Linked DNA regions of Arabidopsis thaliana. The protein of the gene in region 1 interacts with the protein of each later gene in a pairwise test. Each region holds a gene or a part of one and is shown on either strand. Other genes may lie near its edges.

Evidence for each region. Proteins that work in one complex are often made in the same cells at the same time.
Region 2: the proteins of ATG8B (region 1) and AT1G13030 interact in a two-hybrid assay, tested with the Arabidopsis thaliana proteins (one large-scale study listed by BioGRID).

Annotation. Positions count from the first base shown.
Region 1 is NC_003075.7:2,327,370-2,332,109, forward strand, and holds ATG8B (Ubiquitin-like superfamily protein), read right to left. Parts: upstream 3,222-4,740; 5' UTR 2,691-3,221; exon of another isoform or gene 2,575-2,690; 5' UTR 2,558-2,574; coding exon 2,521-2,557; intron 2,089-2,520; coding exon 2,033-2,088; intron 1,954-2,032; coding exon 1,901-1,953; intron 1,615-1,900; coding exon 1,496-1,614; intron 1,398-1,495; coding exon 1,294-1,397; 3' UTR 1,073-1,293; downstream 1-1,072. Other genes in the region: AT4G04614 (uncharacterized protein), read right to left, coding at 1-315, 392-545. UniProt on the Arabidopsis thaliana protein: Ubiquitin-like modifier involved in autophagosomes formation. May mediate the delivery of the autophagosomes to the vacuole via the microtubule cytoskeleton.
Region 2 is NC_003070.9:4,443,291-4,449,658, forward strand, and holds AT1G13030 (sphere organelles protein-like protein), read right to left. Parts: upstream 4,123-6,368; 5' UTR 3,989-4,122; coding exon 3,791-3,988; intron 3,698-3,790; coding exon 3,633-3,697; intron 3,550-3,632; coding exon 3,289-3,549; intron 3,213-3,288; coding exon 3,039-3,212; intron 2,935-3,038; coding exon 2,868-2,934; intron 2,714-2,867; coding exon 2,636-2,713; intron 2,517-2,635; coding exon 2,330-2,516; intron 2,244-2,329; coding exon 2,203-2,243; intron 2,124-2,202; coding exon 1,932-2,123; intron 1,843-1,931; coding exon 1,771-1,842; intron 1,678-1,770; coding exon 1,528-1,677; intron 1,414-1,527; coding exon 1,263-1,413; intron 1,185-1,262; coding exon 994-1,184; 3' UTR 753-993; downstream 1-752. Other genes in the region: EIF4B2 (eukaryotic initiation factor 4B2), read right to left, coding at 1-230; AT1G13040 (Pentatricopeptide repeat (PPR-like) superfamily protein), read left to right, coding at 4,357-5,910. UniProt on the Arabidopsis thaliana protein: Probable component of nuclear coiled bodies, also known as Cajal bodies or CBs, which are involved in the modification and assembly of nucleoplasmic snRNPs. Required for CBs formation.

The sequences.
Region 1 (4,740 bases):
AATTCTTGCCTCTACTTGCTTGTCCCAAATCTCTCTTCTTCTTCTCCTTCTGTGAAAAAGAGAGATTCTTCCTATCATTCCGCAACTGCGCATTCGCAATCGTCTCGCCACCAGTAACCGCAGCAGCTCTTGTAGCTTCTCGTTCTTGATAACTTTCTTTCACTTCCTCTACTCTTTGTTTATCCTTTCCCGTAGTCCATGACCAATCCTGTTTCTCCATGGGAGCAGGAATATCAGAAAGACCAACAGCTTTGTAACCATGCTGCTGCAGAGATTCATAGTCAAAAGCTTTCTTATCTTTCTTCGCAAACCTCGCTGCAACCGTAAAAAAAAAAACAAAGTTACATAAAAGAGCTCTCACAAAGTTAAAACAATGAAGCTTTTCTCCTACCTATTGGCTTCTTGCTCTTTCTCTTCTTCTTCTTCTCCCCAATCTCTGTATTATCCACATTTGAATCAGAAGCAGAAGACGATGATGATTCCTCAGAAGAGTCTTCATCATCATCATCATCATCATCATCCCATCGCATCAAACCTTTCTTCATGATAACAACTCTAACACAGAATTGAATTCTCCATTAGTCCAATTTTACAATCCAAAAAGCTCAAAACTTTAAGAGAGAAAGTATTCAACTTTCCTGATTTCTCTTCAACGATTTACTAAAATCATTTCCCAATAAGACAAACTCGTCCAGCAATTCGAAAACAAATCAAGTACGAATCTTTGTAATCGAATTGAGAAACCCTAAATTGAATTGAAGGTTCACGAAGATACCACAAATCTAATTAGAGTATAACAAAAGCTTCGTACCTTGCCGGTGTAGTTGACGAAGGTAGGAGAACGATTCGCGGCGGAGACAGCAACAGTCGCAAGATCAGAAGCTATACTCGGTCCATGTCCGTAGAACCAAGAGAATAATATAAGTCTCGAATTTTCCAATTCAATTTTTGGTTTGTGCTTGGTTTGGTTTGGTTTTTTTCGGTTAATTCAATTTTAGGATTTTTCTTCGGTTTAGACAATTTAGCTAATTAGTAAATTGATCAGACGAACTTATCAACGTTGATGATGATATTACTATAGAGGTTATTTTATTCAATGGCAATAGAGAAGATGCAGAGGAAACAAAACAAAGAAACTAGAGAGTCAAATTAGAATCTTGTTTCAAATACCATCTTCAAATGCAAGAGATAGTAAGAGAGCTCAAAAGGTTAAACCAAGAAAGTAAAATGACATTATTAAGGTCGACGAGAATGTACAATCATCAAGAGGATCAGACGTAGAAGCTGAGGTAATTAGCAGTAGAAAGATCCACCAAATGTGTTCTCTCCACTGTATGTCATGTAGAGAAACCCGTCTTCGTCTTTGTGTTCTTCGTAGATTGCAGACATCAATGCCGCTGTTTGTAAGAACCAGAAAAGAGAGAAACCATATTTATACATGAACCATAGAAGTAGAAGATTCACACAAGGTTTAAAAAGTGTTAAAATCCTTTACCAGTTGGTGGTAATGTGTTCTTGACAAAGACAAAGATGGCTTTTTCAGCTCCAAGCTTGATTCTTTTCCTCACAACGTACACAAATTGGCCAATGGTTAGATCAGCTGGTACAAGATACCTAAAGAGAAGAAACAGGTGTCAGCAAAAAACATCAAAACCAGCAAAAAATAATGCTATGCAATTCAATCTCTGTATCTAGAAACTGCTAAACTGTACCAAGGGACAAGTTTTGAAGAATGAGAACTATAGTTAGACTCAAAATTTCATCAGCTAGTGATTAAAAGGATTACCGGATCATATCACATTTCCATTAGACTCAAAGGAGATTGAAAGCTAATTTGTGATTTGATACCATTATGATCCAACAAGAGAGATAGAGATAATATGTAAAACAAATTACTCACTTCTTCTTGTCAATGTCAGGAACATCACTCTGTCCAGCTTTTTCCACAATCACCTGTATTGAGTTCTCTAATTAGAAACTTAGGGTGACACTGTAAATCTTGTTCCGTAAAGTGAGAGTTTAGAAAACATACGGGAACTCTTTCAGGGTATTTCGCTCTGATACGAGTAGACTCAGCCATTCTCATCTCTGAAACCAAAACAAAACCATAAAAAATCAGTCACAACTAACGGATTATACAAACACATGAACACATCTTAGTGACATGTAATTCAAGTAACTTCCAGGAAAATTCCAGAGGCACAAGTACTAAATCTTTATAGATTCAACAACAAACTAGGTCTAATAACTTAATCGTGTTAATGTAAATCAATGGAGAATACAAACAGAGTAACCAATATCAGAGATCGAGAATCAGAACCAACAAACTCGTGATCAGGCTAATCAAAACTTGAGTTCCTTTAACAAAGATCATAATCGTAACACAATCCAAAGCCCAAAAGATCGAAGAAAACCAAAGAAGTAAACAACTATCCTTTAAACGCTTATCGAGTGACATCAATCAAGCAAAAACCCTACAGAAATTGCAAAAAGTAAAAAAGAAGAAACAAGGAAACTAACCCAGAGGATTAGAAAGCTTGAAGGAGTTCTTCTCCATGATGATTCGGTTAGTATCTACGATGATTAAGAGAAACAAAACTCGAAACTTTATCTGTTAGGCTAAATCGGGAAAAAAACCCAAACCACAAAAACTCGAAATTGACAAAGTGGAGAGGCGAAATCAAACGTACCCAAAAGACGAAACTAGGGTTCGATGATGATCAGAGGAAAAAAAAATGAATTTTGATTGTAGAAGAAGAAGAGGATCAAAAAAATGAAAAAAGGAGAGAATATATATAAAGGAAACAGAGAGGATGGATTTAGGGTTTAGTGATTGTTACCTGCACGGCACCCAAACTTATTACTTGGATTTTAATTAGTTACGATGCTTATCTTACGTCAGCGAGATGATACGACGTCGTTGGATTGTAGTGGTCATGAGTTTGTGAACTATTTATTGGGCCTTTATAGGTTTGGATCTCGTTTGGGCTTTTCTGTCATTTACATGATCAGGACTACTAGGCGTGGACAAATAAACCAACTCGAATATACCGAATCAAAATCAAAGCAAAACTAATTAAATCAAAGCAAACCAAAAATTGGAAAATATTCGAATGGATACTAAATTCTATAAATGAAAGAACCGAAAGAACCAAAACTAAATGGATACTAAATATTATTTATTTTTAGACTACATAATTAAAAATAATTGAAAAGATATATAAAATAGTAAAAATACTCGAAAAAATAACCGAAAATATTCAAAAATGATCGAAAATATCCAAAATAACCGAAATATCCAAAAATATTCAAAGCAAAATAATAGAATGGATATTAAATTTTAAAACTGAAAAAACCGATACGAATCAAACTTTCAAAATAACCAAATGAATACTAAACTTTAGAACCGAAAAAGTTGAAACCGAATAGATACAAACTGAAACCGAATGGATAACCGAACTATTAGGACTAAGGACTACAATTAACAATTTTAGTTTGTTCCGATTGATACCAAATTACCAATCATAAAGACATAAAAAGGGTAAGAAAGCAGCAGAACTGAAAACTATTTCTAACCACTATTTTTATTTATGTCAAAAGTAAGACTGGTAAAAAACAAGGTTAGAGGTTTTAGGTATATAAAAAAAACAATAAACAATACCAAAATAGTTACAACTTTTTTTTGTTAAAAAAAATAGTTACAACTTTTTTTTAAAAATCTCGTTTTTCAACGTTTTCGTCACTAGTAATAATTAGAAGTTTAGAACGGTAAAATACTGCAACCATACGAGATTACCAATCAAAATCTAACTATTTGGTTCGCCTACTGTTTTTTTTTTACCGTGTTGTTTTACTACTAATCATACCAATATAAAAATCTTTGCTTCTACTATCAATCCTTTTTCTATATTTAAAAGCATTATTGAAGTCTAATGTGATGTTTTCTCGTTACATTATTTTCTTCTCGATATCCCATAGTTTTAAAGTTTATTACATTTAATCACCTTTTTTTTGGTCTCGTTCACTCACCGCTATTAAATATCTTATAACTATAATCAAACAAAAAAACATTCAAAACTATTCATAAAAGAGTTCAAAGGAAAATCATGGATTCAATCCTTTATATGTACACCTTCGATATGTGAATATATGACATTGATCGATTGATATGGTTGAAAATGTCTTCAGAATTGGAAACTCAGCATTTTAGGGCTTATTTATTTTTGCATGAAATCGGCTAAATTAATGATATTTAGTAGCAGATTTGCCAAATACATAATTAGCCAAAGATGGACATAGCTAATATTAACAAAGAAAGAAAGATATCTAATTTATATATAACATTGTCGATAGCAAACGACAAAATCTTTCACCAAAACATGGTAAAGAACTCAACTCCAATTAAAGGTTCTAAAGGAGATGCCCCTCTCTAGGCTCTAATTTAAGATCATAAAAAAACCTTCAAAGAGAAACCAAAAACAACAGAAGAACATAAAACGGGACCCATGCATGGGGCTGACAAGTCATCATCATCACTATGATACTTATCTACTCTAAATAACACATTGAAAAATAATAACAACAATAAAGAAAAAAAAAACTTAACAAAAAGACTCTTGGTATAGTGATCCCCACATGATGATGACGACAATGACATTGATAATGATGATGATGTGGATACCATAAAGTTGAGTTTTTCATGATGATAATGTTAAACAAGAGTTATGGGATTCATATTCC
Region 2 (6,368 bases), on another chromosome or scaffold:
ATCTGCTCTCTCGTCAATCCAGCAGAACTCGGAGCAGTGTATGCTCCTTTGGTAAACTCCGATAAAGTCATCTTCTTCTTCTTCTTAGAAGACTTAGCAGTCGCAGCCTCTTTCAGACTCGGGAAACTCTGTGAATCTGCCGCCGTGGCTGTAGCTTCAGCAGCTTGCTCTTCATCGGCACGCTCAGCCTCATCAGCCCATGCGCCGATTCCACCCCAAGGTTTCGACATCTGTGAATTTTCCAATTCCAAATTCGGAGATTCCCCCAGATCTGAAAAACGCAGGACAGAAATTGAGAGTGACGAATCTAAAGATTCCAATTCAAAGTAGCTCCGAGTGAGAAATCGAATCTAAAGATTCTCTCGTCGTCGCCTAAAGATGAAATTTTTTATATGTAAAAATCGATTTATTTCCTTGTGAAGCTGGTTTGTTTGTAGGTTTCGGAACGGAGGAGCAATGGACGGAGAAAGAGAGATAGCAATACGCGACGTATTGGAGCGTGTGGTACACGTAGAAATCAGTTTTACGAGGAAGTTAATGGCTTGAACGTTGTGCCGTTGTGGTTCACGCGACGTGTTAGCAAGTGACGGTTGACTTGTACAGGAAACGAACGGTCATGAGTCTTTGTTTTTAGCCAATTCTTATCAAATTATTTATCTTTGTTTTTCCCACCAACTTCAAAACATATACATTGCATCCATTTCTTTAAATCGGGTGATTATAGAAAATGAAGACATAAATGGATATGATATATAACACATTCATTTTTCAGATTTTTGAATGGATTCAAACGTGAAATTCAAAAAGATCTTGAGAGAGTATTACACATTCATCGTTTTTCTCTATACATAAACCTTTAACCTTAGAAAGCTAAACTGTGCGTTTACAGCATCAAAAACAAAATGGCTTTCTCTACCCTTTGTCTGAGTTTTTCATATCCAAAATGAAGACAAAAGCAGCAGAGTTTCTTCTAGAGAGATGTGACCTAGTTTCTCAAATCTCTTTCTGAGATCTGAGATAGTTCATTACAGGACCCATAGCACTGCCTCGCAGTGCCTTGTAAGACCATGAGCCTCCACTTGAACTCCCTTTCTTGTTCCACCCATTGTTGGCCTGAGACAACGCTGCTTTCTTTGCACTTAAAGCTTCACTTAGTTCTTCCCAAGGGCTCACTTCTCCATTTTCTGCAATATTCCAATGAAAGTAGATAAGACTCCATCTATTTCAATACAATGTCGATCCAAGATTGATGGAAAATTTACCTTTTGCAGGGGTTTGCAATTCTTTGTTTGCGCTTAGCTTTGGCTTTTTAGCTGACTGGTCAGGCTCGGGCAGTGCTGACTTGGCGACTTCTGCAGAATCTGAGCTGCTAGTTTTGACACTGCGAACATCGAGCAGAGCAGAAAATTCTATCTGCAGAAGCAAAGTCTTTCTTATATTAGAATTCTGATGCTTAGCAAGCAAACAACTACAAGAATGTTCTTGTTCATAAGATATGTATGACATAATGTAAACCATGAAGCATACCTCCAGGGATCCATCTTCTTTATAAAGAGATGTATCAGGTTGCATACAGAAATCGTCGTCCTCTTCTGTCTTTTTCTCGATTGGAAATTCTTGAACAGGCATCAAAGTCACCATCTTGGAGTCTGGATCATAGTAGCTTATCTTCCCAACCTATCAAAAGAAGTATATTGTAAAGTGGATAAGTTCCTCAGAATAAGCGTTGATTGATCGAATTTGGCTTAAAAGGAGAGCCAGAAATTTTACCCGAAAAGAGGAAACCTCGGGTGTCCAAGATGATGTTAACTCAATGAGGCGGTATGCAATAACATCTCCTTTCTGTAAAGTTAACAAACCAGGAGTTAAGGAGTTTAAAAATGCTGAATCTATAAACAACCTGCTGGGGGTAGTAAAGACTATAAACAAACCTTTACTGAGCCAGTGTAAGCCACAAGCTGTTCATAATCAATCGGACAATTAGCAAGTGTCTCTGCTTCAGCGGGCTGTGTCGTAGCATCTTCATTAAAATCCTGAGCATATCGTTTGGAAAACCCTGACTTCTCTGTGCCCCATTTCTGTCCCTTCTTCTTCGTCATGTTTCCATTCCACAAGACATTTTCCTAATATTATTTAGACATAATCATTACAGATTCAGCTTAGGCAAAGCTTTAAGGATACAAACATAGGGTCAAGTCATACCACAAGAGGTTCACTATCAAGAGAGGCTTCATCTGTTCCAGCTGAAAAATAAGCATATAAGGGAAACTGTGAGGAGCCTTGCAAACGCACAAAAGCTATACAGAGAGAAATTTACATAATAATTTACCGAGAGGCTTGAAGCGTATGTGGCCTGGCCTCACTTCCACAGGTACAACTTCATCCCCGAAACCATCACTAACTTCTTCTGCCTGTTGATTTTCAAGAGTTTCACAGTGCTTTTCCTTGGTTGCTTGGTGATCTATAGTGATGACTGGTTTTTGGCTGGGTGCTACAACCAACTGCGTCTGTAGAAGCTGCAAATCATGTAACAATAAAGAAGATATAAGTGTTGAAGCGCAGGCTGTACATCACTAAAACACGTGATGCATACATAAATCTTATCATTTTAAGTTTAAAGTATTTGATGAAGAACCTCTTCCTTCTCTAGTTTTGTTTTCTCTCTCAGCCATTGCCGTTTCGCCTTTTTACGTCGGGCACTTCTGCTAGGTGTCTAAAATAAAAATAAGGAAGAGTGAAGGACTGATAGGAAGCTAAATGAGTAAGTGAAACAAAAGCCAATCCCTGCATCTACAAACATCAAGGAATTTTACACTCTACACATATTGTTCATTCTAATTCCTTGCAACAACTAAGTAAACTCAAACCTTTTTAGTTTCAGCAGATAGTTGGCACAGATCGTTATGCTCTTTGCTCTCTTCTTGTTGTGATGACCTGCAATCACAAAAGCAAGAAAATGGAAAAAATGACTAGTTAGAGATAATTCAAGAGGATTAAAGATTCACAAGCGAGTTTTGACAAAGCAAAAGTCTACGTACCTCTTTGATTTGGTCATGGGTTTGGTACTATCGTTATTCTGTTCATCATTGTTAGCACTTTGTACATCCAATGATTTCTTCTTCTTCTTCTTCTTCACAACATTGCTAACAACAGCTGTGTTTTCTCTTTCGTCGGGAGATTCTTCAGTAGTATCTAACTTACACTTCTTCCTCCTACATTATCTTCAAACTTGAATAACAACAAATAGACATTTAGGTGACTAAGAATAAGTTTTCGTAGAGATCCTACTTGGTGCTCTGGTTTTTGCTTGAAGTTTTACGTTTCTTCGAAGCCTTCTTCTCTGGCACAAACTCTTCTGCTTCCTCTTCAAGCTCATCTTCCTCAGACTCACTTTCATATCCTCCAGTTTCCTTCTGGAATTCCTCATTAGCAAGCAGCATTTCACCAGGACGAATCTGAGGCCTTTCCTCAACCTCAATAGCGTTGTAAACATTCTCATCACTGTCTTCCCCAACAATCTCCAACAAAGACTCTTTCTTCTTCTTAACACTACACAAAAAGCGCAAAATTTAACACTAATGATACTTAGTAAAGCTCAAAGGAAAAAGCTTTAAGAGATTGACGAAACTAACCAAACGATATCTTTATCCTTCAATACACAGCTGGACTCGAAAGGTGGCAAAACGAAACCTTCCATCTGAAAAGCCCGAAAGATAATGTAAGCATTAATGGCGTCAACATTGACAAATTTGATTTCTCTGAAATTAGGGCACAAAGAAGTATAACGTACAGATAGAGAGAGGCCATGAGGACACGCTTCACAGAGGCTAAATGTGTGAAAGATATGATCAGAAAACTCTGATATAGTTCGGTGACATTTACGATTTAGAACAACCCAGCTCCGTGTTAAACCTTGCTTCTTTTGATACTTACTCAGAATCCGTCGGTCTTCAAACACCAGACGAACCCTCACCTTCTCTTCCTCCATCGTAGACGAACTTCAGATAAGTAAAATGAGAGAAATTTCACTCAAGTTTTGAGCTTTCGGAGAAAATCCTTAAACCCCTGTTGAGCTCCAAAGACGGAGAAGAAGGAGAAGGGGAGAAACTGAAAGCCAAACCTAACACTCTCGTTCACAGAGAGGTTTTAGTAAAATATGATTGGGCCTTATTTAAAGCCCATTTAAGCCCATATCAAGAAAGCCTCAGATTAATTAATGTTGGAGCCTTCGTCTTCTTTTTTTTTTTTTTTCCCTCTAGCTTAAGCTCAAGACCAGCCGTCGTCGTCGATCTGATGTCGCCGCATTGAAACAAAGAAGAGGCAACGGTGATATGATCATATGCGTCGAGCTCTGATATGCATCAGACGCTGGGCGCAGTACGCCTTGCATACCGCTCGCGTATAGCTAACCTCGTTAAATCAGGTATGATTGACAACGCTGTTCAGGTGTTCGATGAAATGCGTCACTCAAGCTACCGAGTTTTCTCCTTCGATTATAATCGTTTCATCGGGGTTTTGGTTAGAGAGTCTAGATTTGAGCTTGCTGAGGCAATATATTGGGATATGAAGCCCATGGGTTTTTCTCTCATCCCCTTCACTTACTCAAGGTTTATCTCGGGTTTATGTAAAGTTAAAAAATTTGATCTCATTGACGCTCTACTGAGTGATATGGAAACCCTTGGATTCATACCAGATATCTGGGCGTTCAATGTCTATTTGGATCTGTTGTGTCGAGAGAATAAGGTAGGTTTTGCTGTTCAGACGTTCTTTTGTATGGTTCAGAGAGGTAGGGAACCTGATGTTGTATCTTATACTATACTTATTAATGGGTTATTTAGAGCTGGTAAGGTTACTGATGCTGTTGAGATTTGGAATGCAATGATTCGTAGCGGGGTTAGTCCGGATAATAAAGCATGTGCAGCACTTGTTGTTGGGTTATGTCATGCTCGGAAAGTTGATTTGGCTTATGAGATGGTGGCGGAGGAGATCAAAAGTGCACGAGTTAAGCTTAGTACAGTGGTGTATAATGCGTTGATTAGTGGGTTTTGTAAAGCGGGTAGAATAGAAAAGGCAGAAGCTTTAAAATCATATATGAGTAAGATTGGGTGTGAGCCGGATCTTGTTACGTACAATGTGTTGTTGAATTATTATTATGATAACAATATGTTGAAGAGAGCGGAAGGGGTGATGGCTGAGATGGTAAGAAGCGGGATACAGCTTGATGCTTATAGTTATAACCAGTTGCTTAAGCGGCATTGCAGGGTTAGTCATCCTGATAAGTGCTATAACTTCATGGTAAAGGAGATGGAGCCTAGAGGTTTTTGTGATGTCGTTTCGTACAGTACTCTGATCGAAACATTCTGTAGGGCGTCAAACACGAGGAAGGCTTACAGGCTCTTTGAGGAGATGAGACAGAAAGGGATGGTAATGAATGTGGTCACATACACGAGTCTTATCAAGGCTTTTCTTAGGGAAGGTAACTCTAGCGTTGCAAAGAAGCTTCTTGATCAGATGACAGAGTTAGGTCTGTCACCAGATCGCATTTTCTACACGACAATCCTGGACCATTTGTGTAAATCCGGAAATGTGGACAAGGCTTATGGTGTTTTTAATGACATGATAGAGCACGAAATTACACCGGATGCGATTTCATACAACTCCCTTATTAGTGGCCTCTGCAGGTCTGGTAGAGTAACTGAAGCTATAAAATTGTTTGAGGACATGAAAGGTAAAGAATGTTGTCCTGATGAATTAACTTTCAAGTTCATTATCGGAGGACTCATACGGGGAAAAAAATTATCAGCAGCCTACAAGGTTTGGGATCAGATGATGGATAAAGGATTCACGCTTGATAGGGATGTGTCCGATACACTCATCAAGGCTAGCTGTTCAATGAGTGCTGATGCGTAGGCATAATAAGGGGATAGACTTTTAAAGTTGTCCAAATTGCCCTCTCCTGTGCAAAAATGCCATCATAGTCAATATTATGGCGACACAGAGATGCTGATACAGAGCTATTAAAGCCTCTACTGTTGCCTGCTGCTGCTCGGAGAGAAAGAAGAAACCTATCAGGTTTAAACTAATTTCCTTCCTTTTTTACATAAACGAATACGTGGTATAGTTTATGTAGACCAACTATATCTTGACTTTTATTACTCGTTTCATATTCCTTACATCTTTGGAATGTGAACCAACTCTACTCTGCCTTGTCCCTGTTGCAGCGACATTATATGCTCCCGAAGGATCATTATTTGTGGTCAGATTATGGAACAAGACAACCAGCTCTCTTACATTGACTCAGTTTAAACCAAGTCCTCAGAAATATTAGACTGAGGACTCAGCTTATTAGACTGAGAAAAAGATCTTCC